Linked DNA regions of Oreochromis niloticus. The protein of the gene in region 1 purifies or fractionates together with the protein of each later gene. This does not show direct contact. Links are inferred from orthologs where the notes say so. Each region holds a gene or a part of one and is shown on either strand. Other genes may lie near its edges. The genes, in order: pln2 and atp2a1.

Region 1 (16,632 bases):
ATATGTTCATATATTACTTTATTGAGTTGATGTTTTAATTTGTTCTTACATGTCCTGCCTCTTCCATTACACATTTTCTTGGCTAATATAAGATATAGTCTTTAAAATTTTAGCTTTTCAAAATGAATTGGGATTTCTTGGTAATATCAAGCAGCCATTGGAGACCCATAGAAACTGCAGAATCTGCAGAGAAATTGAAGTAAGTCTGACATCGGTCCAGTTACAGGTAAATACAACAAATGTGTTGCAGTTTGTAACAACTGAATTAAAAAGTAAATTAATGTCTCCCCTGTAATCTGTCACCTAATGATGTCTGTCTTGTCATTTTTTTTGAAGTAAAAAATATATACCAGTAATAATAATAACAATATTTATTTATATTTATATTAATTTCTGTTGTATGTTACAAAACAGTAAAATTATGATTGTGAGATAAAAAGCTGTTGTTGTGCAATTCTTCTTGTAAGATTTGTGTTGAATCTACATCCGAGTATTGATGGTACTTTCTTTGTACTCTGCACATATCTGAACTTGCAGTATTTGAGGATTTTGAAATACACAATTGGATATTGCCAGTTTCTTAAATGTGATATTACAAATATTTGTCTTTTCTGTTTCTATAAATAAGAAAAAGTAATTTAGATCCAAATGAACCCTCATATTTTGTAAGCCACCAAATGAGGAACTTACCTTGGCTAGCTGCTAGCATACACTGTATGCTAGGTTAGAAGAAGTTGGGGACAACTGCTCTTTACTTTGTTACTTACTTAAACATGTCTTTTTATATATGTTTAAGACTGCAAAGCATTTTTTCAGTTGTCTTTTAACCTACATAAGTAGATTTTTAAATGTGAACACTGGGGTAGACACCTTTTGAGAGTCCTGGGGTTTTTTTCAGTGGCCGTGACAAAAGCTAGCAAATTTTGTTGCTAACACTATGCTCAAAACAACTGTTGGGCATCTGGTGTTCAGATTTATTTTATTTTTTTGGATTGACACTACCAGTAACTATGATCCAGTTAAGACAACAAATGGTGAAACAACTAAGAGAAAACTAGTCGAAGGAGATTTTCAGAAGGCTTTTTCACCCAGGTATTTTTCAACATTACTGAAATTATTATGGAAATTATCCATCTATAACATTTAATATGTATAATCTCAATATGTTTTGGGGCTTAAAAATCAAACATTGCTTCAGATTTGCAGACTGTTTTTCACAATAATAATAATAATAATTAACTGAATAATGTAATGAGTGTTTTTAAGCATTACTGATAAATCAATGCATTTTTTCAATTTCTGAGTATTTGCTAAATAGAACATCTATAATAATTTTTTTTTTTTTTTTTTTTTTAAATAGAATTCAATTCACATTTGGGTAAATAGTCCCTTGGCTGTGGGTGGCAGTGGAGATTTCTCATATGTTCTGGTGATCACAGGTCAAGAAAAAACAAGCTCTTGAATGTAGGCAGGCGTTCAAAGGGCTGTAAAACCAAAACAGTAAGCAGTATGGACCATACGGACAGATAAAGACAAAGCATTTGTCACTTAAATCAGACACTACTTTTAATTGTTTTGACATGCAGTTTATTTGGTGTTCCACAGTTTAAAAATCAGGTGGTAGTTTTTCAAACGTACATACAAGACAACAAAAAAACAATTAATTGATACTCACCTATGTGCATCTCATTTTTTTTTTTAAACATTTTTAGTCATAGTACATTTCAAAAGCAATGACATGATTTTATAATTAGGTATTTTATTCCAGCGCCTAAAACAAAAAGTCTAGCTTGAGTAAAGAAATTGGCACTACGTGTAATCACACCATGCAAAGTGAGCTTTCTTTCACAGCTGATAGTGTATAGACTGCATGTACCTGTGAAGCACACTGTAAAGCAAACCTTTCACTGTCACTGTTAGACTGTGCTTCACACACACTCGTTAAAGGTCTGCAGTACTTAGAAACATTCCTAAGTATCATATCAAGTATGTTTATATATGTTAATTAAGAGTAAGAAACACACTGAATAAAATGGCAGACATGCTGCACCTTTGGGAGTGAGCAGACAGTGATAACAGAGCTTCAGTTGATAAATAATGCCATGGAGATTTAAGATATGTGTCAAATTTCTCAGCAGAATTGATGAAAAACAGGGTAAAAATAATTTTACATTTAAAATGATCCACCATGTCTTTTGTGATATAACCACTGGGCGGCGCCAGAGTTTGAAATTTCAATAGAATTGCAAATTTATTAATTTTTTCATCTTCTTCTCTTCTGAAGACGTCCTCAGTGAAGAAATCTGAATGTCAGTGATAGTGAAACCAGCAGGTTTACAGCTTTAGGCGACAGCAGGTTTAGCAGCGTATGTAAGTGAACTGTAGCCTCCATGATTGGGTGTATGCCCATCTGATGTAACTATGGGCCAATAAAGAGTGGCAACAACTCAAGTACTCAACGGACGTCACACATGGCAGCTTTTCTAGGGCAGCAACGTTACATTTTGAGGCACGCTCATCTCAGACTTTCTACCTGCTACCTTTTGCTAAACTTGTGTTGCTGAAAGCTTTTTTTATTTTTTTTACCAACAAGCAGTTTCAGGAAACCTCAGCGAAACCTCAGTGTTTTCCTGTGATCTGTCTGTGGTTTCTGTCAGCGGCACACCAAGAAAGACGTGAAAACGCTCATGGAAAAAAAACATTTCCAGCCTGTTTATCTTTCTGCTGTGGGGGTTGGGTTGGGGGGGGGTTTACAGGAAGTAAAGGGGGGTAGGCTTGTGGGAAATAGAAGTCAAACATTGGTGATGTATTGATATTTCAGCATCGCTGCACTTACTCGTGCTTATGCGTGCATAGCGGGAGTCGCTGTCCTCTGCAAGCGAGCACAGTGTGAATCTGAATGAGCAGCAGGAAGAGGTGAAGGTTACAAACTGCTGGAGTCGGGTCACTTTCGATCATTCCCTTGAGACACAGACAGCGCAGCTGATTCCCGATCAGCTCCCACATCACCCTTGAGCTTTGCTGTGAATTGAGAGTTTGGCCAATGCCTCCGTGATCCTTCTCCGCGCCTTGCTGGTAAACGGGGTTAAGCTGATACATGCCACTTATATTATTGCTTCTTATCCTTTTTTAAAAATATATCTGCATGTATCAGTGAAACCCTCATCTTTGCCCAAACTCTCTCTCTGCACGTGTCTCTCAGCTGCTCAGTAGGACGATGATGTAGATGAGAAGCAGGCAGATGAGGATGAGGGTGAAGTTGACGAACAGCTCCTGCAGGTTCCTCTTGGCCTGCGGGTTCACCTCGATCTGAGACGCTCGGCGAATGGCCGATTTGGTCATGTGCTGAACGCGCTCCATGAAGGCCGGTTACAGTTTGATCGGCTCGATTGGGAGACGAGGGAGTTCAGGTCAGGCTGCTGGGCCTGTTGTTGTAGAGATGGGGGGGATGGGGGGGTGTTGATCTGAAGATGAGCTCGGGTCAGGTGGCAGTCGCTTTATCTTCTCTTTTCTAGTGGCGAAATAAAAAAAGAGACTGTTAAACACATGAAAAATGGGATTTCAGAATCACCCCAGGCCCTCGTCCCCTCATGCGACCTTTCCATATCAGCACTACATAGTGTGATGATAAGACGGCTGCTCAAGAGGCGCCAGCTGAGGCCTGATGATGTGTTAAGCTGGAGTGTAGTCTGAGTGGCAGCAACACAAATGTCATGACCACAGTCCTGGGACATGTTTGTAAAGAGGGAGGAGAAAAAAGTTTCTCATGACTTTATAATATGTTTTGTCCCCCCTCTGTCATTACATCCCAATCAGCTGGGGGTCGTAGATTGTAAGCAGAGTGCGTAAGCAGGAAATAAAAGCACGTCACACAGTGCAGCTGCAGGCTCTCGACACTGGCTTAAATCCCCTTTTGTCATCTGATCTGTGACTTTCCCCAGATCAGAGGCACCGTGACAAGGTTACCGTGCTCTCGCATTAGAGGCTCCTGCACACAGCGAAAAAAAGAAAAGAAAAATCTTCCCACTTGTGCATCGGCTGTGCCAAGGTCTTTTCTATTTTTAACAAGATTAAAATCCACACAGGCGCACCCCTGCTGGGTACATTGTACATTACATCCCGCATTACAAAAAGAGGCTCAGCGATCTACACACAGCTTAGGAACCTGAGAGCTTTGCTGCTAGAAGGTGTAGGTGTTAGGGTGGTAATCCAGGAGTTTGGAGGTCCTCTGTGCAAAGTTTCAAGTTTATCCTCAGGGGGGCGCCAAAGGAAAAGTGCCCCATACTGCATATATTATGACTTACGCTTATGATACTTGAATTGCACTTTTAAACTCTAATGTGCCATTTTTATTTTTTTTTTTAAATCTTGTTTCCTCGTGTCTGTAAAAATAAAAGCAAAAAGGCAGCCATGGCTATTTTTAATCATTTCACTTTTTTCCTTCCACCCCCGTAATCTTCCTCTGAGTCACTCATTATCACTTGACATGTTGACACTTGTGCACACAGTTTCTCAGACCCCACGGGTTAACTCTCCAGCCCGCTTGATCAGACCTCACTGAAGTGGAGCGTAGCGTGGCTCTGGAAGAAGGAGGTTTGAGGGGTTTCATTTCTGGAGTAATCGACCGGTACACAGTCGTGTCTTAGCTTTGACCTGTGTGTAGAGGCGTACTGACAGAGTTCATTAATTCAGCGTATTAACCTGATTAAAGAAGAAAAAGACACTAAAATCTGCTGTTTTCATGCCAGGTGACGAGCACAGAATTGCTGATTGTGTCCTGCATGTGTCTTTCTCATCATCATCACCTGTTTTATCTCATGCCCATGTTTGACCAGCTCCTCAGGACGTACATATGCTGTTTCATCAACACAAGCAATCACTGTTACTCATAAATCCTCCAAGTCTCTGTATGTCCTCGAACAAATGCACCAAGAATGATCAGAAAGTAATCAGGCTGAACTTTTCCTCTCATCTGTTTATGATTTTTCTTCTTTTCTTCCACCCCACAGAAGCAGCCAGTGAAACTCCTCTTTCTATCAGTGTGAAGAGATTTAACTACACATTGAATCCCTGACATATATTAATATAAGAGAACGAGGAGTGGTTTCAACAGTACGTCTCTTTATCTACGTGATAAAATAATGCTGCTGTAGTAAATGAAAGAAATCTGTCTGTGCTGAGTCTGTGCTTAGACAAATCTGGTCCTCAGGCCTTATGTTTGACACCCATGATTTAGAGCGTTTGCGTTCAGTCTGGACTTTTAAACTCATTAGATTCTAAATATTTGGCTCCATGTAGAAGTAGGCTTTGACTTTATCAGCTATGGAGCTTCAGGGTGGCCTGAAAGGGACAGGCTGAAAGTCCTGTTTGGTTTGGGTCAACAGGTGGCGCTCTTTCAGCTCATTATTTGTGATTAAAGGGTTTTTATTGAGGTATTGTCTGTAAACACAACACCTCAAAATGTTTTGTATCCATGCTGGTAAAATGTTGTATGGGTGTAGAGCGGGGTCATGTCGTCCACTGAGGTCTTCAAGGTCAACTCAAAGATTTATTGGTCGAAAATTGACAAAAAGCCTTAAAACTTACTGATTCTTACAAGTCAACATATAAAAAGTACAGTATAAAGATTTAAAATGTCTTGTCACATTTGACCTCTGACCTCTTCTTCAAGGTCAGCAGATTGATCTGAAGGTCAAAGTGCTAATAATGCTAAATAGAACTATTTAAAATGACAGAAAGCTTTCAGACTGACACAACTATGCTTTTTGAGTATAGCTGACACAGGTTATAAAATACAAAACTATTTAAACACATGTGCAATCCTCACGAATAAGTATTATGTTTGTTTTTTTAAACCAAATAAACTTTTTTTTCACTTCATATTTATCACTAAAAATGTCCATTTTTACTAAACAGTAAAATGAATTTCCTCAGCTCCATCTAGTGGTCTGCAGACAAACTGTGTTTGGACTGAAGCAATCAAGAAAAATCTTTGCTTGTGCGTCTTCTGCACAGACGGTTTGTATTCTGGGCTTCCCTCTGACAGCAGCTCAAACTACACCTATAGAAATTAATATTCATCCGCCCCGGTGTTTCCCTGCCCCGCTCTGTTCCTCTCAATCATCCTGTGCCCGAGGTCATGAGCCTTCCACTTCCACTCATCCTTCTCTCCTCCTTGCTTCCTTTCTCACTTTTTATATGAGAAATTAGCATTTTTGTGCAGCTTGTAGTTTGACCTTTGAGGTGAAATTACATTCTCTCTGTATGTCAGTCTGCACACCGCGTGTCTGATAACAAGCGAGCCACCGCTGCTCGGCTTCATCCTCGGCTGGTCTGCAGCCGCATCATTATAAACTGAGCTCTGTCAGTCAGCCAGGCTGTGCTTTTCTTTCTTGTGTCTAGAGTGCAAATAATCTTCATTTCCACTGCACAAAATGAGTGAAAATGAAATGTTGACAGTAGATATAAAGCTTTCATCTTTTTTGGCCCACACAGGCACACCTACATCCTGATGCAGTGCATACATCTATTTTCTTATTTTCAGCAAGCTCTTTACTCGTCATCATTTCCTACTTTGCTTCTTAGCCTGTTTATACATCTCAAGTGGCTTAGGGCCAAATGTGTCACAGGAAACATGGTCTAGCTAACTTCACAAACACAACACCTTTATTTAGGTTGAAGCTGTGGCCTTTATTTCAGTGGTAATTTTGTAGTTTAATGGAACACATGAGCCACTGTGTCAGCCCCAAAAGGGCTACTGATTAAACCTGAGGGATTATAATATTTATTAATAAGCTCCCAGGCTTCTAAAAGTGTTGGTGATAAAGGATCATTAGCTGAATGCTATCTTGTGTCCTAACCAAAAGTCAATAATCTCAAAGCAACACCTGATGGATTCAATTTCAAATTATTCCAACAAATCAAATCAAAAGAGGAGTCTAGGTTAACTGTAATTTCCCATCTTAGCCACGTCCTTTAATATGGAGAAGGCCCCAAAAAGTAAGCAGTAGATCATTTGGGTGATATTATTTTACCTCCTGCAGTTTCAGTAAAGCGGGTTAGGAAATGAATCTATGTTTTACTTTACTGTACCATTCTGCTGCTACTTTTGAAATTTATCTAAAAGGCCTCACGCAAAAAACACAGTGCATTTAATCATTTGATTAGCTTATTTGTATTTACCGTGCAAAGCTCGAGGAGAAATCTGTTTTTATTTTTAGATTATCACCGTTAAAGTGCAGATTGCTCCTCTGGGCTGCTGAAAGGACCGCGTTGTCCTATAAACACAATCAGCTGTTGTTAGCCGTTCTTGCCAAGCGATAGATTTCTCCAGTGTGACCAACACAGAAGTGGAAAATAATGGTGCTGATGTTACTGGTAATAAAGTTTTTAGAGATGGAAATAGTTTCAAAATAAACTGAAATAAACTGAATTAATCTTCTGTTTTTCTCCTGTGAGTTTTGTCGCTGTGTGCCAGAGCGCGCAGGTACATGCACGCCACTTTCTGCCCACTCTAGAGGCTAAAGTGACACTAAAAATAAGTCATTAGCGATGCTTTTTGTCTTTGCAATCAACATCAGCACTTGCAAGAGAAGTAGCTGGTGTAATGTTAGCATTTCCTCTTAGAAAATGATTGACAGCTGTGAAGTATGTAGGTTAGACAGATGCATGGGCTTACTGATGTTGTCCTGCTACTCTAATTGGGTCATGGCTAGCTGCACCCACTCCTTGATAGCAGCTGTTGGGAGCCAATACCTCACATAAATCACTTTAAATTTGGCAGCATATATATATATATGTACAAAATTTAAGGTCTTTATCATAAATAAACATGTCTAAAAATATATACATGTGTAATATTGCATTGTATAGCATGATATAAACATAGTTTCATAGTATTAAATATAATTGATTTCTTTTTTTACCAACTGTTGTGTATTTTGCATTTGTCACATGTCAGAAAGAAAATCTTACCACCCACTTCTTTCTAGTGTTGCTTTTTTGTGCGTAACTCGCTCCATGTACTGTATCTCCTTGAGAGGTCATTGTGAAGTAAAGATACATCTAAAAGTATCTTAAAATTTTTTTCTTCTTAATATTTTTTTAATGGAAACACATCTAGAAATAGAATAAGATTATCAAATGGAGCAAAAAAAAAAAAAGAAATACAGTGAATTCTCCTGGACCACACTGGGAAATATTGTATATCGTACTGCAGCATTAAGTATTACTAAGATAGAGTTGATTTGACTCCTCAGTGCTTTTAAATAAAATCATGTGTTCGGGATAGGAATGTAAGAATCTGGGATAAGTCTTTATCCCTCTGGGAGTTTTAGCCCAGTCCCTGTTCCCCCTGCTTCTCTCTACAAAGCTGTATTTACTGTAAGTGAGCAATGACTTTATAAGAATCAGTGATTCATATCGTGCTCCTTAATATCTTAACATAAAACATCTCCTGTAACCGTTTAACTTCTGCAAGTACAAATGTCCTTTATGTCCCTAACCAGTTAAGTACCTGACTCAAATAACTCAGCTACCAATAATAATACGTTTTAATGACTCTTCTTATCACAAGATTTACCCTACTGGGCTTTTATCCTGTCTGTATCATCATTTGTCATCATCAACTCTCTGTCAGCCTTCCTACAGAGCAGCTCAGAGGATGCTGGCTCTTACCTTTCAGATGAGAAGAGAGCTGGTTGGAGTTTGAGAGAGAAATGTCAGATATGCCGTCCTCTCCAAGGCTGTAAACACAGTGAGAGATGGAGAGAGAGGGAGGGAGGGGAGAAATAAAGGAGAGAGAGAGAGAGGCAGGACATCCCAGCAAAGATTTCAGGAGAGTGGGGATACCAAATTTGTATTAGGGCTCCTGAATTATACATGCAGCCACCGGCACGTACCGCTGCATTTCAGGGTTCAAGTTTGGGTGAGAGTTCTGAAAGCTGAGATCGCGAGGTCATTCCCTCGTTTAAAACAACTCAGTCATATACGCAGACGTTACAATACTTTTTGTTTCTGGCTCTGTAATAGTTTATTATTGATGATGCAGTATTACTGTTCATTTAAGATTTTTCAGGGAAAGCATGGTAATGCTCTTAAGCTCTCTGGGCTAAATGGCTGACGTATTAGCCACACTCCTAGAGCAGATTTGTTTTCTGGGAAAATTATTTTGGGAAATGTGGAAAATTTGCCAGCTTTAGAAGGACACCAGTCCTGTTGCACTGTGCCCATCTGTGAAGAAAGAGATGCTTTATGTGTTACTGCCATGCCATCCTCACCATGCGTGCTTTCTTTATCCTTTCTTTAATGCATTAATGACGTGGCTGCTGGGAGGGGCCAAACACGTCCCTGCGATCACTTGAAATCTGGCTTCCGATCAAATACCACACCTAGACCACCCTATTGTCTTCATTATCCTGGCAGCCTGATATACACTTGGCACATGTGTTGTGCTTTTTGAACAGCTGATGACACCTCTAAATTTACAGTATACATTTGGCCATGACCACATCATTGATCCTCTGGGACCTTGAAATTGTTGAAGCAGCCACGAGAAAGTTATTTCTCTTCTATTGCTTAACTCGCTAACTCTGTGTTTCGCAGCTGGTGGAGAACAAACAGCAGATTTGTTTGCCTGGATGTGAATTTAATGTGTCACAGTAATACTTGTGAAAGCTAGTCTGCTTATCAGATCCATTCATTTTGAAGCTATTTTAAATTCGTTAGCTGTGAAGGTGGGTCTACCTGACATTGTATGAATTTCATTTAAAAAAGTATTTTTATCATTGTGTGTATGTGTGTTTGCGAAGTGTGTGAAGTCCTGGACAGCATCCTCCACTTTAGAGAAATCAGTCGAGACAAGGGTTTCAAAAAGAAGTCTGTAAAAAGTAAAAATAACCCCCCTGCTGTGGCCCAGAAAGCATTGCATCTGCCTTATAAGGGGAATCAGCATGTAAACAGGCTGTCAGTCACATACTGGGAAGTCTGCTTTGTTGATGTTGCTGGTCTCTACTCCACATGGATACACACTTCAAACAATCCGAGAACACGGGCAAGCAGATAGTTCTATCTTTTATGACAGCTGTATCTTTCCCAAACATGAAGGGGAACCTTGATCCTCCCTCTGGGAGACAGCTCCACTGTTTCAGGAACATTTGTAAATAGAAAATTAACATAATAATAAAATAATATCATATTAGCCGAGAGTCAAAAGCACAGTCAGAACTGTTCATGAAGAAGAATTTGTTGTGCACAAAATCATAAGAAAAGGACGTTTAGTAAGAAAGACTGAATTTAAATCTAAGGAGTAGTGGACGTGCTGTACTTGGGACATTATTTCCTGATGCATTCTGAAATCCAAAATTAGCCATTTATCTGGGGACTAAAAGGGTCCAGATGTTGTTGAATGTACAGATTATGAGTGTTCTTAAGAGACTGTTTTTAAGCCTGCTTGTCGTGATCCATGCAGGGTTAGTAACCTCTGAAAGTCTTTGGTTAGCCCCATTTAACCTGCAGGACTGTCTGGAGGCACCTGGGCCATCCTTTGCTACCTTGGATGAAAACTTTTGTCGACCCTGATTTCGTAACAGGGGAGAAAACTTGTCAAACAGTCAAAAATTATGACCGTCATCTCTAAAAGGCAGTCTGGAAAGTATCAGGTGGAGAAACCGGCTGCGCTGACTTCAACGGTGACGGGAAATTTTTAGAAGAGCTGATTGTTTTTTAAAGCCAGTAGCCAGATGATAATACACTGTCCAGCAGCTATGGATGGATAAACAGGGCTGGTTGTCAGAACTATAATGGTACAAAGTAATATGGAAATCAATACATTCAGTTTTCTTGGGTTATATTCGATCACTTGAGTTTTAAAAGTGTCCAAACACGTGACAGGCTATCACGTTTGGATAGACTATAGCAGTAACTCTCAAGGAATCAAGGACAGTTGAATTAACCCCTGCTAGCAACACTAAAATTGAAGCCTAAAAGGTATGTTTTCCAATAACTATGTAGTTAGAGGGATGACAGATATAGTGCAGATGGTCTTTTTAGAGTTGTTGAAGTTGCCATAAAGGTAGATTTCAAACTACTAACTAAAAATCTATCAGTAATTGCTCTAAAAAGTCAGTACTGATCTATTAGACGGACCGACTTTGGCATATGTAGGACAAAAAAGAATTTGGCATCAAGCTGATGTATTAATGTGAAATATATTTGACATATGCTAGGTATAGATTGATTTTTGGCAACAGAATATTACTGCTGATAATCAGCAGGCGGGCTTTCATTGGGCAGTGGTGAGGTGCCAGTGGCCGACTGAGGGTTAGAGCTCATTGTGTCTTTGTGTTTGTTTGATGCCAGGACTGAAGGGATAAATCTAACTCTAAGTCTGGAATGCGCAAATCATTTTCAGCTCCGAGGTGCTCTTGAGGTAGGCTCTCGCACATCTGAGAAAGCTCTTCAGCTGTGGACAGATCCAGCTCCTGCTGCACTGGACAGCCTCCAGGTGTGGAAGTGTGGGAGTGGGAACACTCCTGAAACTGGGCCCACTGCTGTCACTGGAAGTCTAAAAATAACACTCTTGGCAAAAATAATCGCTTCTCTCCTGTTATGTAAAGTCCTTTGAAAGTGATGATAAATATTTGCGTTTATCTGGTAGATTAAGTGTCTCTGCACTTAATTTTCATTGTCATCATCATGTTCTGTCTTGCCTTCATGAGCACACAGAGCCTTTATGTCCAGCTGAAAAGTAATTATAAAATCTCTTACACTAGGAAAATAGTTTCCTCCTTTTTTTTTTTTTTTTTAAATCCCTAGAGTGGTGCAGCTCTGCAGCCTTACATGGTGAAATACCAGACTGCTCTAACCCACGACTAGCAAGACAGAAAGATTCAGAGGGAAAGAAACAGCTTGACTCATATAAAGAAAACCACAGCAGGGCAGAGAAAACAGACAGAGCTGCTGCTGCTACCAGTCAGAAGTCAGAGATTTGCTCTTTTAAACAGAGACGCAAAAAGAAAATACTGCACTTTAAACTTTTGTGGTTAAACCTGTAATGAACACACCTGGCCCTTTCTCTAGCAGTCTAAGGTTTTGCACTCACTCAAAATTCTCGCTGCGCACATACAAAGAAAATATATTTGAGTAGAAGCTTTCATGTTCCCCAGAGGATGAACTTCTTGTATTATAGATTTTTTTCATAAACTGTATAATGAATTTTAATGATCTGAAGTACATCCACAGGCCCTGAGTGTTGGATCTGAATGACAGCAGCTCAAAGACAACAACAATGTATGCAAGATTTGACACTTGGCAGCCATCTTGAAATGTAACCTGGCAATTAATTATGAGATATTTTGAAGCATTTTCTAAATTAACAGTAGCATCTGTAGAATCGGTCACGGGTCTGACACATAGAGACAGACATCCATTCACACTCACGTTTGCACCTTCCAGAGATTTCAGTGGAGGTGCTTGTGGTTAAACCTGTAATGAACACACTTGTCTTTGAGCAGATCTCATCACCACTGCAGTTATTTCTGTTACGTTCTGCTAGCCACCAAAATGAAATAAAGGGCGACAGGTACGCCCATACCTTGCACTTAGGCAAAATACAGCCAGGTGGTTGGAGCTGGTCCATGGACTATTTTAATCCAGGCGAAGATCCCCTAAAAAATGGAAACAAACAATATCCAGAAGACAACAAAAAGTCAGTATTAGGCCTCAGTCACACAGGCAAGAGACTAATCCGAGACCCCCCGGTCAATATTCCCTGATTGTTTGGTAAAAGAAATTGGTGATGAAGAGGTATTTAGTGGTACCCTAAAAACCTCTTTGCAATTGCTTTAGTTGCTTGCAAATTGCTGCAGATTTGTCTGCAAGCACTTGTAAACTATTCACCGAGCAGTGGTAAAACTTCAAAAGTTGCAACTCAAACCAGAAACAGAGATTGTCCCTCTTCGGAGTACAACTTGCGCTTTTTGATTAAAGTGTTGGTTTCTGTTGTAAAGCACAACGTTTGCTTTCAAGGCTAACAGTCTCCATTTCTGGTTTGTGTCACTCTTTTCATTGTTTCACTATCACTCGGCGTCTTCCCTGCAAACTTCGGGTACCCACAGCAATCTGCCACTGATCAAAGTAATGAAAAAAAGAGGTTTTAGGTCCAGCAGCTTCTTTGAAAATTTGCTATATTAACAACTAATGATTTCACATGATAATAGTCAGCAACCCCCAACCACCACTGTCCAATACATAGGTTTACCTGCTGACCAGAGATTTCCAAGCAGTCACTGACCAGTCTGAGACCAGTCCTTGGGTCAGTAAACCTGGGCATGAATAACTACAGTGAACGTGAACAGCAGCAATGTTTGTAGGGTTATTGACGTTGGGCTAGCTGGCACACAATGGTCTGCTACCTGGTGTCTAGCTACAGAGCTATGGTTAGGATAATATAAACACATTAGCAGAGCAAAGATGGAGGACGAATGGGAAGGTTCTGAGGGGCAGAGACGAGTGGCAGGAAAAAGATGCTAAAAACAGACCAAACTTCAGTCAAGCGAACATCTGTGATGATCCATCTGTCACACCAGGTGAGTCACTAGTACATGAAAAATTCATATACCACTTGAGCTATAGGACCCAGAAGCACAGCTGATATGTCATCACTTAACGAGTGGATAGTGTCATCCAAGAGTGACCACTTCTTGATGTGCACAACAATGCTCCAGTTACTCACTCATCTCACAGCTACTTCACACATAATAACCACACATTGTTGAAAACAAGTATGTAAGTGGAATTCCTGAAATACTGCACGCAGACAGAGAGAGTGGGGCAGATCGCCAGCATTCACACGCCGTGCTCATGCAGTGGTTTGTGTGGATGTTAGTGAACATGGGAGGATGGCTGTGAAGTTTGCACTGGAACCAGGAGAAGAATTCTATAATATATCATGGATAAGTCTATAATATATACTTACATACTTCATAGAATAAGTATTGAGTAAGCATTCGCTAACAAAAGGCAGCTGTCTTTCATCATCGAGCTAATATACATGCTAACTGATTACATATTAGCAGATTTTCCTAGCATTCATTAGGCTTTCTAAACCTTCTTTGTCATTCTGTTGATAAAGTTGTCCTAATTATGCATATTGATGTATGGATGCATGCATAGATGGGCAAATAGAGGATAACAGAGGGTGAGGGCATTTTAGGGGTGAAGAGGGATGGAGGAAGGGTTTACCCCATCAGCTGTGTTTACACTGGAAGACTTAATGCTGCTGTTGGCGGCTTCACACACATTCTCTCACTCTCGCTCTTTCTTTCTTCCTCCTCTCTGTTCTCCAGATATAGCCAGCTATGCAGAGAAGCCCACAACTAGCTTCTCCCCAGAGGCCCCGTCTAAGAGCAGGCTTTATCTGATATGGGCTTCTGAGGAACAATGCTAACAACTGACACGCAGCAACAGCTCTCTTCTCCGACTCACTCTAATGACATTAACGTGTTTCTGGAGCCATGATTAGATTTCGAAAAATCACATTTAGAAACTCAGGTGGGTTAAAGAGTTTTATTGAGCATTTGCAGGCAATATATACTTGAATCCTTCGTCACCAGTGGGGCTAAATATGTGAAATGCCTTGCTTTCAATAGCGGATGATGTACACCTAAAAGATCTTGAAAGGACTGCCAAGCTCAGGTTTTAGCCAAGTTAAAATTAATCATCAATCCTTTACTGAGCAGGGTTGCAAAGCATGTCCTGGCATTTCTCACACAGCAATTTCTTCATCAGTATTCACGCTAATGCACTCAGCCTAATGTGATTACAAGACTGCTCCAATTGCACAGACCACATACACCTTGGTCTGATCTAATTTTAATGACTTGTTTGGATCTTTAATGTCTGCAATTAAGACCTGCAGTGATTTTAATATTTAAATGGCAGTGGGAGATGCACGTTTGGGTGTGTGTGCCTGTGTGTAGGTGCTGATGTCACATGTTATGTATATGAGCTGTCAGCTGAACAGCTAAAAAATGTGTCATTTATATACAGTTGATCCAGTAGTTTCTTTACATTTTAGTGGTTTTTAGGAGGTGCAGGCAACACAGTTACTGTATGTGTGACATGATCAGTCCTGACATGAAGGAAGGGAAAGCCTCTTTGAGCCTGTAGGGAAACATGTCAGCCTGAATGATCAACAAATGACACATACAGGAAAGTGATTTTTCCTGTGATACACTGATTGTGAAATTCTGAGCTAATGCCTTTTTTAGGAATTGCAATTTATCCACTGTCAATGCTAATATATTTTTCTGAGTATTTAGTATGTTTTTGTTGTTCTCTATCCCTCTCTTTGTGCCATAGAAACAAGGAAATCTTTCAGCTCTTTGTGACATCAGATAATTATTATTTATGCATCTTAATAATTAATATCTGTTGGGAAAAACTCATGTTCAGACCAAATATCTGTGGAAGTTCTGTGTGGAATTTGATACTGATGTTACAGCAGTACACTCTATGTCAGTTCTAAAGTTTTACATATCAGGACGTAATAAAACATTATCTGGTCCTTACCTTAAAATGAGATAAATACAGCCTGAGATGAACAACAACTACTGGTTCCATAGGGATTAGGAGGGTAAGCGTTAGTGAATTTCCCATAATGCATTGTGCCACATCTGGCAAATGTCAAACATAGCATATGAGCACAAACACCTCATACCAACCGTGAGCACGGTGGTGGAGGAGTGATGATTTGGGCTTGGACACCCTGCAGTCATTGAGTTGACGACGAACTCATGTGAATACCAAATATTCTAGAGTCAAACTGAGATCATCTGTTCAACAAACAAAGCTTGGTCAAAACTGAGTCATGCAACAGGACAGTGATACCAAGCACAGCAGCAAATCTACAATGAAAAAAAGGAAAAGAATGAAGGTAAAGTCCAGACCTCAACCCAGTTGAAACGCCGTGTGTGACGTTGAGAGAGCTCAATGAACTGAAGCAACAACGTAAAGAAGAGTCTGCTGAAAGTTAAAGACCTGGTAAGAACTAACTAATGTTTTGTGTCTTGATATGTAAAACCTTAGAGGTTGGATTATTTTTTCCCCCATTAATGATATTTTATATTTTACTCATTTTTTTAACTATATGTTTATATATTTAAACTCTAAGTTTAACTCTGAGTTCTTGGCTGGCAAAGTTTAATCTCTTAGCTGCCTTTCTTAAAGAGTAATTTTACTCATGGCCTTATAGGCTTATGCCAGCGGGTGTATTAGTGTAGCACATGTCCCACAGTTAAACATGTGTGTCCTTGCAGAGGCTTGTGTTCAACCCCACCCTGAACCATGAGTGCACAAGGCATCAAAGACCCCACGGGGTAAATCCTGCAGATGCCATGTTTTTGTAGCCAAAAACACTGATGTGAGATTGATTTTAGATTTCGGTGATTTTTGATTTGGTTCTTTTAACCTTTTCCAGAGTGTGGCTCAGAACATTTGGCTGGAGACGCCATAGTGTACATCCTGCAGACATGCAGGCTTAATCTCATAACTCTCTCAGCCTGCTGAGGCATCCTCAAGCAAAACACTGAATCCTTCACATCCCAGGGATACTGCACCGCTTAGATAAAGAGT
Region 2 (16,412 bases), on another chromosome or scaffold:
TAATAAAAGAACATCTTTACAAAAAGAAAATCTAAAGCAAGGCTATAGACAGTGATTGGAAATTCCCTTAACTATGGGACAGTTTTTGATGCAGACACAGTATCAGGACCCCTGTAGGTGTTGAATTAACTGAATCAGCCATTAATTTTAATTACGTAGGTTTTTTTTCTATTCTGAAATATCAAAACTGGCTCATGAAGTAAGAGTTAATTGCTTAATACTTTTAAGCAGCACAGATCAGGAAGTCAGCATGACGTTGATAATGAAGTGCCGCCTGTGCTGACATCCAAAATGACGTCCAGAATTTCTCATCATTATAAGTTACACCTGTGGGTTCCCAACAATGACATGCAAAATGTCTGCTGTAATGGTTATTTTCATGGAATAATGAGGTCCAACTGGAAGTTAAATCAGTCAGCAGGTGGGTTTTGAGATGTCTGATGGAAATATGAAGGTCAAGGAGAGGAGAAAGCAGGAAAAAGACTCACAGAGAACAACATGTTCTTCTTGTCCTGGTTGACGGCTCGGGGGTCTGGGACTGGATCTGTGTGCTTGATCACGCTGACAGACTCACCTGCAGAGATGAGCGGTCAGGGAAGGCGACAGAAATTAGAAAAATTTATTTATTTATTTATTTATTCTTTGTCTCCGACAAAACACATACCAGTAAGAATGGACTGGTCCACACGCAGGGTTGTAGATTTGATGGAGATGATCCTGATGTCAGCTGGCACTTTGTCACCAACTAGTGTTCACGTAACAAACCCAAACACAAAAGCAGGCCCTTCATTAACATTTGTTTCTTTAGTGATTTATTGGTCTGGCAGTATTACAGTGCAAAGACAATCTGACTGCAGTGTTACAGTTGGCTGGAGGAGGCGGGGAGGAAGGGGGGTGTTTGACTGGTTTTAGCACTCTGGATGGATAGTGTTGTTGTTGAAAACCGATACCACAGTAAGAGTCGGAGGGAGAGGGAGACCTTGGGGAGATCATGAAATGAAAAGAACAGGTGTACAGCAAACAGAGGGGAGAGACAGAGGAGCGAGTGCTTATACTCAAGCTTATTCCTTCACTCACCCCCCCAACTCCTTTTTCTCTGTCACTGCCTTATAAGGGGCCATGTTGATTTTGAAGCACAGTACTACTCTTGTATTCACACACTTGCAAAATTGAGAAGTTCAGATTTCAAACACTTGAATTTAAATGACCCATTCCAGTCAAGGGTTTGGAATTTAGAACAAGCTTATGTGTAGACTGCTTTGGGGAGTTCATCTCATCTTAATTCTGATCACATTTATGGAATTTCAGTGGCTGGACAGGCTTTGAATAAACGCAGCAGGTAAAGCTTACCAGAGACCTCCACTACATCACCAGGAACGATCTCCCTGGCCTTGATTCTCTGCACGCTCTTCCTGTCTGCCCTGTAAACTTTCCCCATTTCAGGCTCGTACTCCTTCAGGGCCTCGATGGCGCTCTCTGCATTGCGCTCCTGTTTCAAAAGTGCACACAGAGCAAACACATAATCATTCCAGCTCCTTGATGTTCCAGTCCTTTGCATGATGGTTGTCAGCACTGTGACATGTTAAAGGTCAGTTTTTAGACAGATAAAAAGGCTTTAATCAAAAGATCATTATTTTAAAAAGATGCACAGTACATTGTTTTTAAATGTACCTGAATAGAAATGTATTTAAATATAAAATATTTTGATATGATAACAAAAAAAAGCTTAACAAAACCAGCTGCTCCAGTCTTCAGGCAAAGTGTCCTTGGCCAAGTTGCCCCAATGCATAAATGAAACAGGTTGAGTGTTTGTGTGTGCGTTAGATGATGTGCCCAGACATAGAATAAAGTTGTTTATGTGAATGGGTGAATGAGGTTTGTAGTAAAAAATTCTTTGAGTTCTCGGTTAGGGTATAAAAGTGTTATATAAAAAGTATTTTGTATACATAGCTCTGGAAAAGTCTTGATCCACCACCTGTTTCTTTATATTTTGCTAAGAAAATGGGAAATTGTGGAGTTATTTATTCAAAGAAGAGCTTGTTGTGCATGTGTTCACATCACCTTGTTGGTACAAAATACTATTTTATGCCATTTAAACTGTGTTATCGCATTTTTTATAGATAAAACTTAAGAAACTGGAATGTATGATGTGTGATGTGACTGGCTGCTAGTAATAAAGTGGGAGTTAAAAATTGGTTCAGCTCTTGAGGTAGGTGCATAACAAAATAAAAAAAATCATCCCTGAAAATGGTCACGTACAAGGACAGGACTGAAAATTAGTGGAAAAGCAAAACAAATTTCAAAGAAAAAATTTCAAAGACCTTCGAAAGCACGGAGAACTATTGCTTTATAACATTTTAAGAAAGTCTGGCATCTTAGAAGCAAAATATAAATGAGAGGTACCTCTAAAGGTCGGTAAAAATAAGCGAATGAATTAAAAAAATATCCTGTATTTTCTGATTTTATATTGATTTTATATACGTTCCTAAAGCAAAAGTTGTCTTTGTTGCCTCTGTTGTAGTCCCACATTTTCAGCCCTGGTTTTCCTGTTTCCTGTGCTTGTTATTAAAAGAAACTCACACAGGCGTCAGTGAATTCAAACCCAGAACCTTTTTGGCATGAGGTTACAGTGCTAACTACTGCACCACTGAGCCATAATAAATATTAATTAATATCACTCTATGTTGTAATGTTTGAGGGCAGAATGCACGGATTTTGTTTTATTCCAGGAAAACATACTTATACAAACTAATAAAAGCTATTTTAGCCCTTTTTTCATAGTTTCTTTAAACACCCAGAGTTGCTGTGGCAGATAATCATCAGGCACTGTCATTAGAAATGAGGGATAAGGTTGCTGATACCAGTGACTGACTGATGCGCATGATGTTTGAAGCCATTGTTTTCCATTATCATGAGGCTTTCCTGATGTCTGTATTTAATTAAAGTCCATCAGCTTAAATAATCTAATTTAAAGAGAGGTTGTGCAACCATAATTTTGCAGGACTTGTGCTGCAGCAGGTTGAAGTCCTTAAATTAAAAGCTCACAGTCGTTTCTTGTTCATCATGTTGAATTATTTCCCAGTAAAAGCAGGCGGCACAGAGAAGTCAGACAGCTTGATGTCCGCTTCAGTCTGTGGTTTCTTCCAAGGCTGCCCTCGACCGCCTCAAAGTGTAAAGCCCAACTTATGCCAGCTGCCCTCCCTCTCTCCATTCTCCTCCTCATCCCCCATGTGTGAATCCTTGTGCATAGTTTCCAAATGACTGCCGCAGGGTTGATATGAACCTCTCAACCACACACGCACAAAACGCAAGCCTGCGGTAACGTGATCGTCCCTCTGTATTTTTACTGAGGATCGCAAAGTGTGGATTGTAACGAAGCAGTTTGAACCTTCAAGGCAGGAACGGGACCCGGTCCGTCACCTCCCTCCACGCGCCCTGCTGGCTTAACCTTTCACCTTTTCACCTCCTGTTTACGTCATGCCTCTCTTTCTGGCTTTGCTTGATCTTTGAGATCTAAGGAGCGTGTGTGCTCTCTGTAAAGGACACAAGGCCTGAGCAGGCCGCCGATGTGCGTGATTTATTGGGCGTGACTGTTTCTAAGTATAAGAGTCTATTTAGGTGTGTGTATGTGGGGAAAAGACAGTATTCAGGAGCAGGTATGCGGCCTTGGGGTTGCAGTTGTTTCTGTATGTGTGTGTGTGTGTGTGTGTGTATTCATGCGCGCTCACTGACCTGCCACACTCCAACAACAGCATTCGCGATGAGGATGAGGAGGATGACAAAGGGCTCAACAAAGGCAGTCACAGTTTCTTCTCCTTCCTCAAACCAAGCCAGCACCTGAGACAGTCACACACAGACAGAGTCCAAAGTTGAAAAAGTTGTTGTTTAAAATTTGATGATGAGACACTTAAGTTGTCAAAATGAAACCCTTAAGATTCAATTTTTGATGAAAGTTTGTTACTAAAAAACCAAAAAACCCTAAAACTTCCTTGTGGAACAGTTGGCTAGCAGATCTTACACTCAAAATCCAGGGATCACGTTGGTAGAATAGTAAACTCTCATAATTGACCATTTTTACTTAATAAATTACTTAAATGAATCTATTTTCATTTTTTTTGTTGGTTTTTCATCCCTAATCGATTCACCCTGTAGTTCCAAATCCCAGCCTCTTTAATTCTTTTTTCCTCTCTTAGTTAATATTGAAATTCATGGAAAGCAAATGTAATCCAATTCATGTCCTTAACACTGCAGTGAAGCCTTGTTATGTCTACACAATCAATTAACTGAGCTGGTAATCATTTAAGTCAGTGATAAAACAGTAAATGACAGGGTTAACAGATTTTTTCTGATTCAGGCAAAAAAAAAAAAAAAAAAAGATAATAAATAAAATAAAAATGATGACTTCAGATATCACACACTGTGGGAAAATTCAGTTATTAAATTGAATTTCAATTTTTTTGAAATTCCTCCGATTTTTAGGTAAATATTATTATATTATAATTTCTAAGAAAATATAATAACATTCAATTTAATTACAAGGGAATTACACCCTTAGTCATTGGCCACATTATAATGTGTTACCAAAAATACACAATATCTGTAAAAAAAAAAAAAACTCTAAGAGGTCCATTTTTCTTTTACAGAGGTGCCGTTCATCTTAAATACTACACATGCAAGAAACATTGTCAGGTTATTTAAAGGGATTTTTGCTTTATGTCACTGCTAGCTTGTCATGAGCGCTCCACTGCTGGGTTTGGTGATTTAATGTACCGACACTTTCCTCTCGAGTTAAAATTATACATTGTTACTATCGCTAAGCCCGTGATACAAAAGTGTCTTTACGTTTGTTGTGCACCTGTCGCTCAGGGTGAGAGTATTATCTTTTACTGCTGAGTAGCATAAAACATAAACATATATTTGTCACGGCTCTGAGCTATTTCTGCACCGCTGTAGGATCAAATGACATTTCTCTTTGTCACTGTTGTGCTGTATGATATTCTATGTATGAAATCCTCCCCATGTGACTTTTTTCTAAACCAATATTCGTGCACGTGTGCGCCCCTGTGAGCAGGAGCTACACGTTACTGATGCTGGTGTGTTTCGGAAAGGCCTCGTGTTGACACTGACACAGATTAGTTGCAGGCCACCGGAGCATGGACCCAAGTGGAGAGAAAAGAGTAAAGTCCTCCCATCCTTCCTTTATAGCATTTAGCATTTAGCTCAGCATCACAGTCTTCCTTGTTTTCCATTCGCCTGCTTTTCATCTCACATCTTTTCTCACCCCTTTTTAAAAAAAAATAGGCTTGATTGCTTGCTCTCTCCAGTCTGTCTTCACTGTGCTTCTCTTCAAAGACACAATCGATCTCCAGACTGAGCGTCAGGGCCTGTCAACACCTTGCAGTGGTCGAGCATTCCTGTGTGTATGAATAGGATGACCATGTATTTGCAGTATTTAGTGTTCTCTCTTTTAGAAACCATATATGACTCTGAATCTATTGCGCTCATTTGTCATTGTAACAGACAATGCCATTGTGCAACCCAATCCCCAGCCCCCCCCGCCCTCTTCGCTGTCTCTCACTCTCTCCTGCTGCTGCAAGCAATCCCTCGTTCCTTCCATCCCTGACCTTTGTCTAAGGATATAGTTTCTCGTCCTGGCTTGAGACTTTCTTAAAATAAAGGTCCTGCCATGCACATGCACTGCCACTCTCTTTTCGTCTTTCTCTTGTTCTCTCGCTATTTCACACGCAGCACGTCAGGCCTTCTAAGGCTATAGTGACAGCTGTAGAGGGAGCCCTGAGGGGAGCAATCGAAGATTAAAACAATGTGAAGAACCTAGTCGCCTTCATAAAACTGCACTGGCGAGAGCAACAAGGAGGGGAGAGGGATTCCTGGTGTCAATGAGAGTGGCACTAAAGGTAATCTAATAACGTGATGATGTGCATGATGTTTTGTCAGCTGAAGTGTGTGTCTGTGTTTGGTAAAGAGTCAAAAGAGATGCAGCTCCAGATCCCAGACAAGCCCCCAATTATGTAAGAACAAGGTTGATAAACCGTAACATAAAATCAAGACTTAAAAGGCAACAAATTGGGGGTGTTTAACTTCAGTTGCCACATATTCTGAAGTTTAAATCAGAGGTAGAGTCTAAAAATCATCTACATGAGCAGGGTTAGCTCTAGCTTCAAACCCCCCCCCCCACCCCCCGTTAACATCTTGATATAACTCTGTGATACATTCAGCCCTGGTAATCGAGAGAAAATGTACCTTAAGCATTGCTACAGTGCTAAACTATGTTTCTCACAGTTTAAAGGAAATATGCCCACAAATCTGGCAGAGTTCAAGAATGTTTCAGGCCTTCTCAGGTGTGAGCACCAAACTGAGACCCTTGCACTTTTACTGTACGGCTTCTGGGAACTGCAGACCGGTGAAACACAACTCACCACTGACAACTGCTGCTGCAGGACAACGAATGTAAATTGCTAACTAGACTTTCTAACTGCTCAACCTCAGCTTAATCCTAAATAACCCATCAAACGTGTGATCTGAAAGATATCTAAAAGTTGATTTTCTTGGAGAAAATGTTCATATTTGAGGTAAATTGGAAAGTTATGCAAAAGAGTGAAAAGAAAAGTAATTAGACACATGATGTCTGAAATACAGGAAGAGATTAGAGAATCTACTACATGTGGTGTCCATCACTGAAATAGCAAACACAACTTTTACATGCACTGCTGAGAAAATGTCCTTTTCCTTCATTCATTGTGGTGGCTAGTCTTCCTCTGCTTGAAACATTATGTTATTTTCTGCTTTTTCCATTTACTTTTGAATGGATCTGGTGATAGTAAATGTAAGACAGGGATGGAAGGGGCACCTCTACACAAATAGAAAAATATATATTTTCACTACAAGATGATGAAGAATGAAGAAGAAATTTTTGAACGTGAGCAAGCTCTGTGCATTGAACACTTCATGAATATTACATAAGTAGGTGCTTTGCATTGGATAAATGGATGGTCGAATGCTTTGCATCATGAAACTCACAAAAGAGATGCAGGCTGCCAGTAGAAGGATTCTGACCAACAGGTCCTCAAACTGCTCCACCACCAACTCCCAGATACTTTTGCCTGATAAACACATTCAAATAAATAGACATAGCCCATCTATTAAATCAAATTCAATGTTGATACAGTGTTAAGAATTCCTGTGATTATACATGTAAGACTGATGAACAAACCGGGTTAAATGGAAAAGGCAGTGACTGTGATTTAGGTGAAAACACATATTTGATTAATGATGATTGTTTGTTTTAATATCCTCCCACCACTTTGGGCTGCTCCAAAACCAGCAGCAAAGACTGTTGCTGCTTTAGTTTGAGTTCAATGCACAACCGATGTGGACACAATCCATTAGTTTCTCGAGCAGTGTGTGGTGTAGATACATCATTACCATACTGGAGTCAGTAACAAGTGGTAAACACACACGCAAGGGAGCAGTCATGACAGGAAGTGAGAGGAACAGCTGTACAGGGATGTTAAAGGAAGCTTGCAGGTGTGTAATGTTTCGGGTTGGCTCACCTTCCTCTGCTGGCAGCTCTGTTGGTGATGAGAGACAGAGAACATTAGTAAAGCACACCACTTACTACATTCGTTCTGATATTTGCAGAGTGAAACATGCAGCCAGGTCAATCGATTTGACCGTAAAACCATCGAGTACAAAATACACAGTATAAAGGAAGCATTACATTGCACAATTTACACTTTCTTCACCAAACTGAGGCCCTGCTCCAATAAACAGTAACACTTTACTCCAAATTGCATTCTCAAAAAACATGATTCCTCTTCATTTTACTGAATTAAGGACTTTTTTTCCCAGTGAATTAAATGTGAAGCAGAGGTAGGAATATTCATGATTTTCCAGTTCCGGTTATTTGAACCCTTAAGCCAAGCAGTAATGTGGGTACATTTACATTCATGCCTACGCTTTCCCTGCTGTGATAAGCAAGAAAAAAAGAGGCCTCTGATGCTTTCTTTATAAAGCTCAATGAGACTGCAACTCAGCAAACTCCATCTGCCGAGACAAAAGTAAATATGTTGACCTTGAGTCAACATATTTGACTGTCGTGCGCTCAGTTTCAAAATACAAATAAATTACCCCCAATCTAAACTAAAACCAGTAGCAGTTGTCAGGAACTTGACACCCTGAGGCACCTGCTCCACAAACATAACTCCTGCTTTGTGTCAGTCGGATAGTTTCCCTTAATTAGACCAGCATCACAAAGTCACACACGGCTTTGAAACCGACACTGCCGCTACTTGTCCTCCTTCACCTTCCCCTCCCATTTCCCTCAGTGTCTCTGCTCCTGCCATTTTATCTTGTTAACCTCCGAGGCACCCCGTACATATGCCGCCTCTCATTCAAGCTAAATCTGATGCATGTACTCCTTCTCCTGGACCTCCCCATCATGTCATTCACCATCATTTTCTACTGCTCTTTCTTTCCACTCTGCATCAAAAGCTTCATCTAAGTGCTCCATCCATGCATCCATCAGGCCATCCATCCATCTTTTTGTTTCCCTCACCATTGTAGCCATACTTTTCCAGGCACTTCTTAACCTGCTCAGGTGACAGGCCGGTGTCTTCAGTGACGCCAAAGTAGGCCAGAACGTCTTCCGACTCTTTGGTGTGTGCGTTCTCCATCCTTACTTAAACGGAGAGGCTTCGAGACAAAAGGGATAGAAAAAAAATGGAGAGAAATTACAGCTGGCCAAACACTGAAACGTAAAACAAATGATGCGGCATTCTACCCACCACTTTCTTGAAGAGTGGGATTAGGATTAAAAACTGGCAACTCCCTGTGCGTTCACACTTGCTCTCACTTTGCCCCCTCTCTCTCTCTCTCTCTCTCTCTCTGGGCTGTTGCTCTCCTCTCGGAGCCCTGGACCGACAGAAAGTGCAACCCTGCAAACTGTCCTGAAAAGTTTTATAGCGATGAAAAAGTTGCCCCATTGGTGCTTGTCCACCATGCACCCCCCTCTCATTGGATGAGAACGTCACAAATAGGTGGGCAGGGATGGCCCCCGTGGTAAAGAATAGGCAGGGGGAGGGAGGGGGAGAGGTGGAGGGGGTAGAGGGCAGCAACTGCAGAGGGGTCCCAGCATGCTGGAAATAAGATGTGCATAAGAGAACATGCATGGTTAGCATGGAGAGGCAACATAAAGACTGTCTGAATGGACACTGGTGGGCACGTGTGTGTCCACATGTCTGTAGACACACGTGGACAAAGAAACGTAAAAGACACTGAGAGATGTCGACTTTTCAGGCATATTTCGAGTACCTGATTTTTAAGCAGTTCCCAACCTTCAGATTTGGACTGCTTGGAGGCCCCTTGACTTGTTTCATGTGTTTTGAAAATTTTCATCTTCTTAAACTTCTCAGATGAGAAATTATTAAGTGGAGGACATGAGACTGAAAACCAAAATTGAATGGTCATGCATCCCACCCTTCAAATAAACCCCACATCAGTGTGATGTGTGATCCAGGCACATGTACGTCTTCTACCAGCACAAGATCACCTAAAGCATCCAAATATCCAGTGGTTTGATGAATCAGAATCTTAGGTTGCTGATGGATATTTCAAAGTTCATGTTCTGTGTTAATACTGAGGTGCACCTGTTGATACATTTCATTAAATATTTCATCAATTGTGGCTTTTCAATATGCCTGCTCTGCACTATTTTCAATTAAATATAAGTTTTTATACAGTTTGGTAATCAATATATTTTTTATCACCATTTTACACTGCCAACTTTTTTTTAAACTGGGCTGGATAATAAAGTTAAACCATGTGTTTATGGAGAGTGTCACCTTTTCTTTTGCTTTTACCTCTGTAAGGTGATCTAGGTGTGATTGAAGTGAAGACTTTCAACTTTAATTCAAGGGTTTTAACAAAATAAAACATTTACTGAGGAGTCATGGCCACTTTGGTACACAGTACACAGTATACTATTATCAAAGGCTCAAAGGAAACTCCGCAAAGTAATATAGTTTTAAATATAAGGTCATCTAAAATATCTTAGTGCTTATTCCACTGGACCTGTTTACTATCAAGTTATCCATATATCAAAAGAAGATATATGGATAACTTTTCTGATAATAAGTATTATTAATTGGTAATACACACACACACACACACACACACACACACACACACACATATATTTTCTTTTTTTGCATAGTACTGTTGTTACAGTGCCAAAATGCATGAACGATCATTAAATAGTAAATTACATGCTTCATTAATTAATTAAAATTGGAAATGAATAAATATTTATTAAAACACAAAATTAAAATAACATTTTAATGAATTAAAATGTTTTACATGAAATGAACTGATATTTTATTAATTGTGTATATATTTAACTATTTTTTCCAATTGTAATTAACTGATGATACATTTAATTAATTATTTAATCATATGTTTATTTCATTTTGCCAGTTGTGACTCTTTGTAGATTATAGATTATACTGCTTCTATTTATTCTATTTAACTCTATTAATTTTTCTGTTGTAATAATATGAATTTTAAAAATGTGGGACTAATAAAGGTTATCTTGTCTTGAGCAGTTATGACAACTCACGTGCAGCAATTTGAAGAAACACTCCTTGAATGCAGTGGAGATTAATACTTTTTCAATAAAACAAATGTACTTGTGGACTGACTCAGAAAGCAGATGAATGACTTTTATAGTTTTATGATGAATTTCCATCCATCCATCCATCCATCCATCCATCCATCCATCAATCCATCCAAGTGCTTTTCCAATTCAGAGTTGCAGGGGGTGCTGGAGCCTATCCCAGCTGTTATAGGGCGAGAGCTGGGATACACCCTAGGCAGCACGGCAGTCTATTACAGGTGACTCCTCTTTGTATTTTTAAACCTATTGTAATGTTTCACTATGTATCACCCCATTCTCCACCTTCCCTCTTGTCATGTTACAGCACTCCGAACCTCAGAGCACAACACAGGGGCTTGCAAGTTTTTGGTTTGTGTGTGAGGTCAGAAATTGTCATTCTAGGGGGGGCAGGTGCCATATTTGAGTCCAGTACTCAGTTCTTATAATACATCCACGGTCCCAACTGGTCTGGTCTCGGTTACCTTGTCGTCACATATATCACATGACAAAGCAACAGGTGTGAAAATGCATGTGCATGCCCATGCTGAAAACATAATGCACGGCCAAGTGTAAACAGACGGGAACCCTGCTGGGACCTGTTATCAGCTGCAAATTGACTTACAAGTCTTTAAAACCAGCAACGGCAAAAAAAGGTTATGGCAATTAGAGGCTGCAGAAATAACCTGTTAACACACCGCGGGCTTCATGTTTCTTTTTAGGCCGATACGACCAGGCTTTTATCAAAAAGGTTGCTTCTGTGTTTCAAGACACCTGATATGGTAGAAAATTCCCTACATACTGTACTATTACATATTATTACACCACCTGCACATGAGTAATAATCACTTCATGAATGTCAGACTGAAAGATGCTCTGTGTTTGTCTCAACCACCTGTAAAGGGAACGTTTTTTCTCTTTCTTTGATAAATATGAAGATTTGGCCCTATTTACGGCCTTTTGTTTGCATAAAGTAAAAGAACTACCAAACACAAACAAACACAGTCGGGATACATCAGTGTATAAGCTATGGTTCAATGTGCTATGAATCCCGTTTGTCCGTTATGGTCTCCCACACTGGCTGTATTCGCACCTCTGTAAGAAAGAGCACTCCATGTTCTAAGAAAGATTTGTCCTCTGGTTCTCAGGCTGAAGGTCATTAACAACTATATCCATACAAATGCTTAAATAAACGCACACTAGATTCAGATTAGCTTTTATTCACAGTGCATTATTTATGTATTTATTATTTATTAGTGCTGTGCAGCACTTTGGTTAATGTCTGCAGTGTTTAAATGTGCTATAGAAATAAAGTGACTGGACCAAATTTGATCTATTTGGGCTTTTTGAAGTTTTTAGGGGAGAATAACTGACCGATGCTTCTGAAAATGAAAGTGTACAGTTAAGTTGAACAGCTACAGCTCAACAATAAGATGAATGGTCATTTTTCTATTTTAAAGTCCAACATTCATAACTATGAAAATCCAAGAACTAAATAAAAATATCATTTAGGTTTAAGTTTACAGATCATACTTTCATCTGAGTAGCAAAATGAGATGTTTTTGACACGTGCAGAGGAGGGAGAGTGGACATGCTGGATAAGAGATGCTGAACATGGAGCTGCCAAGCAGGAGGAAAAGAGGAAGATCACAGAGAAGATACACAGATGTAGTGAAGGAGGACGCGCAGAGGGTTGGTGTGCCTGAGGAGGATGCTAGGGATAGGGTGAGCTGGAGGCAGTGACGCGACCCTTAAAGGAAGCAGCCAGAAGAAGAAGCAGAAGACATTCAGCGGACTGTAATGAAATTACATGCTTGTAATTTATATGGTCAGAAATGAAGGATTCACACATTAATGCTGTTTAAAACCCTCTTATAAAATGTTTCACAGGTTTAAAAAAACATGTAGATACTTGTTGTTATATAATAACATCTTCTTAGTCTTAAGATAACAAAGGTCATTTTTGTGAACTCAGATGTGGCCACCCACTCTCATAAGTCATACTTATACAATACTCCCCTACTTCCTCTTAACTCTTATCTCTCTAATCTTTACCATCTTTTTTCTTTTTCTAACCCTACATTTACATTCAGTCTTGCTTCTGTCTATCTCCGTCTCCCCTGCAGGCTGCGGTCTGTGTTGGAAACCCTCCTTTGTGTGCTTCACTTGTAACCCTCGATGCTGTCGTGGGCCCGGCTGTAGCAGTGCAAAGCTCAAGGTGGCTCACTGACATTTAGCTCAATCTCCCCCAGGGATCAGATTACTGCGCCTCGATCTAAACACTGTGCTCTAATACTAATAAAACACAGCAGTGATAATGCTGCACCGCCTGCGGAGAGGCACACACACGCTCTTGTGTGATCTTGAACAATGAGAATGGGATTTCTAGAAGACACTTTTAAGATCATTACGTGGAAAGAATGATTAGGCGTGTATCATGCGTGTAAAATCATTTGAGCCGGCTGTGTTTGTGATGAGATTTTAATTAGAAAGAACACTTTTACTGCAGAGACAGATTACGCAATTTGTCGAGCTATTTTTGGATAACGACTCAACTTGATTACACAAGCGCAGCTCAGTGGTGTAAATGTAAAATACAAGCTTTTCTTCCTATTATTCTTTTTAAATATAAATAATCTGCATTTTCTTTCCAGCGCTGAACAATAAGATTTACTTTGGTTGACTTCACACTTTCAAGGTGCAAGCACTCACGGGGTTCAGTGTCACGACTGTTGACTTAAGGAAATTTAAGTCCCGCAGCATCACGGACAAACAGGAGGGGCACAGTTCTTCTAAAACAGGATGTCCTTCACTGTCGACCCCTCGGTGCTCCATAGTCTTAAAAATCTCACCCCGAGACCTCTGCTGTTATCACATTTAGCTAAAACAACATTTTAAATATGAAGGTAGTCAAAATGTAAGAGTATAATGATAAAATGCACATTATATTAATTTAGTAAAAGTCTGCAAATCATGTTACGAGTATCTGTGATAAAGAAATATAATCAAATCCTCATGTTTGATGCGTTAGACGCAGCATATTTGATTCGAGTGCTGTACACCCTGGTGCTAAAGTCATTGTTCAGTGATTCGCAGTTCATACAATATCACAAATATACTGCATTAACACACACTTTGATGCAGAAAACTTCAGAGTGGCTCAAATACCAATTGGCGGGTTGATGGTTCACTCCCCATCTCCTCTGGTCAGTATGTTAAAGTATCCTTGGACAATATACAATTTCCCCTGATTGTGTGTGTGTGAAAGTTAGATAAGATGTATGAAAGTGTGTGTGATTGAGTTTTTGAGAGGTGTGATAAAAAGTGCTTTGAATTCTTTTTAAAAAATTTCATTTTCTCATTTTTCTCTCTTAAACGTCTGTTTTATTAGCTTGTTTGTTTGTCCTTTCACCTGAAACAGTTACGTGTTTAATGATTTGTAGCTGGGACCGGGTACAGTTTAAGTCGTGATGTAACAAGTGTGTGTGAGAGCTCGTTGGCAGGCGGCTCGGTGTGGGAGATGGGCACGTCAGGGCTGCCTGCCTGCATGTGGCTGCTCATCACCATGATAGATCCAGGAAGCACCAGGAAGGGAGGATGATGAGGGCCAAAAGTAGCAGCAGCAGCAGAGTGTTGTGCGTTTGTGTGTGTAGGTACTGCATCATATTATTAGCTGAGGAAGGGCAGCTGTGGTTTGAAGTGCCTCACTGTAACTGTACCTATAGCAGCAGTTGTGCTGGTCGGGTATAAATAGTGCAGTGGGCATGTGGGCAGGCGGCTGTGACACAATGGCAGAAATTCGGTGTTCTTTCGGGGAGATTTGAGAATGTGACACCCTGCAAGCGAAGATCCCCCGCTCTAGATGCGACACTGGAGCTTGAAGGTTGACTCAAGGTGGAGATGAGCGTGAAGCACTTTTTCATGCATTATGTTATTAAATTATTCTGGTAATATTCACTCTTACACCTGTGTAGAAATGGAGATGATGAAAGAAACGAAGCAAAACAAACACAGCAGTGCTGCCTAAAGAACACAAAACGTAACACCTTTTATAGCACAGTAATTGGGGATCTAAAATAGTTTTTCTTTATGTGTTACACACATAACAAGTCGTTCTCACACAGCTATGGAAGCTTTTTTCCACCACTGAAAAAAACATCACATCCAATTTTGGGTTATTATCTCAAAATTTGAAATTGCTAACAAAAACCTCCAACAAAGAACCCAAATCTGAAACAATAACTTGAAATTGTGAGACATTGAGGAGAAATTTTAATTTTGATGTATGAACAAAAGGCCTGAAAGTGACAGACATCTTAAAAAACATCAGATATCTTGAAAAGTGTTTGATGTATGAAGCTATAATAACTGAAACCAGCCCACTGAATGAACAATGGGCTGTGAGGTCAGTTCCTTGATCATTAATATGCAAATTCTCATGACCATTGAGCATGCATCAAGACACATGAAGCTAAAATTCCACAGCATTCATGATATATGTTTAAACTTTATCATTTTGGACCAAATTCTTATGTAAATTGGAAATGTTTGAGCAGGTACTTCATGCTGATTCGATTTTTTCTCCAGTGGCAGAAACAAGCATCCATACACAGGATTTTAGGACTTTAACCCCACTTTCCCAGGTGAATCCCTCTGTAATTCATTGCACTACTCCAAGTCTCAATTTTTGTATCTTCACCAGTGTTGGTCAAGTTACTTGAAAAAAGTAATCAGTAACTAATTACTGATTACTTCCCCAAAAAGTAATCCCGTTACTTTACTTATTACTTATTTTCAAAAGTAATTAATTACTTAGTTACTTTTTAAAAACACGATTTACAACCTGAATAGGTAATAAAGTGATAGATCTTTCAGCCCAATTCTACTTTTTCTGCATAATCCATCATACAAAATGTGATCAAATGGAAATGTCTCTTTTTAAAACTTGTTTTATTAGTTTTAATCTTTTAACTTTATGCATCAAGCAAAAATTTAATTATATGCAACATTCTCTGACTGGAAGAAATTTGTTTAACATTTAAACCTATTTCCTGCACATTCCAGCACAGCAGAAAATAAATAAAATCAAAGACTCAGCGGTCCTGTTGCTCTATTTTCACCTGTATAGCAGGCGGATGTTTGCCCTGGTGCAGGTGTGCCGCAGCGGTCAGTGGAAGAATCCGCGAGTTTGTGAATTTCCCATTCCGTGGTAGCGCACTCAGTGCTTGCTTGGAAGTTAAGGGGTTTTTTTTCGCAGTGAACAGCGGACGCTAATGTTTTTGTCACTTTTTACGGAATCAAACTCAAAGTAAGGTCAGTACTTCCACGCTTTAAACGCTCTCCGCACTCGATATATTATCCATTGTTGATGTGCACACAGCTGTTGCCACGAACGTCGCATTCGCTTACGTCATTGTCATGAGACACTTGCAAAAAAATCACGGTTTTAGTTACGCAGTAACGCAGCGTGCTTACGGGAAAGTAACAGTAATCTAATTACCTTTTTTGCAGTAGTAATCCCTTACCCTACTCGTTACTTGAAAAAAGTAATCGGATTACAGTAACGCGTTACTGCCCATTCCTGATCTTCACTCATTTTACTTTTTTCTGCATGTGGAGTGAGGTGACCTGTTAGTTCGGGAGCCCTGTTTGCTGTATGATAAGAGTTACACTTTACGATCTTTGGACTGAGGCACAAAACTAGAGACATATTAATGCTATTGGTACTTTTGTAAAATTAAAATAA

What was found.
Region 2: the proteins of pln2 (region 1) and atp2a1 purify together in Homo sapiens (affinity purification with western blotting, with the first as the bait; 3 studies listed by BioGRID). This does not show direct contact. The link is inferred for Oreochromis niloticus from reciprocal best matches to the Homo sapiens genes PLN and ATP2A1.

The regions. Positions count from the first base shown.
Region 1 is NC_031986.2:13,219,706-13,236,337, forward strand, and holds pln2 (cardiac phospholamban), read right to left. Parts: upstream 8,837-16,632; 5' UTR 8,677-8,836; intron 3,512-8,676; 5' UTR 3,361-3,511; coding exon 3,199-3,360; 3' UTR 1,549-3,198; downstream 1-1,548. UniProt on the Homo sapiens protein: Reversibly inhibits the activity of ATP2A2/SERCA2 in cardiac sarcoplasmic reticulum by decreasing the apparent affinity of the ATPase for Ca(2+).
Region 2 is NC_031969.2:13,941,690-13,958,101, reverse strand, and holds the start of atp2a1 (sarcoplasmic/endoplasmic reticulum calcium ATPase 1), read right to left. Parts: upstream 8,966-16,412; 5' UTR 8,805-8,965; intron 8,713-8,804; 5' UTR 8,694-8,712; coding exon 8,576-8,693; intron 7,590-8,575; coding exon 7,572-7,589; intron 7,122-7,571; coding exon 7,039-7,121; intron 3,838-7,038; coding exon 3,733-3,837; intron 1,490-3,732; coding exon 1,351-1,489; intron 746-1,350; coding exon 665-745; intron 575-664; coding exon 489-574; intron 1-488. UniProt on the Homo sapiens protein: Key regulator of striated muscle performance by acting as the major Ca(2+) ATPase responsible for the reuptake of cytosolic Ca(2+) into the sarcoplasmic reticulum.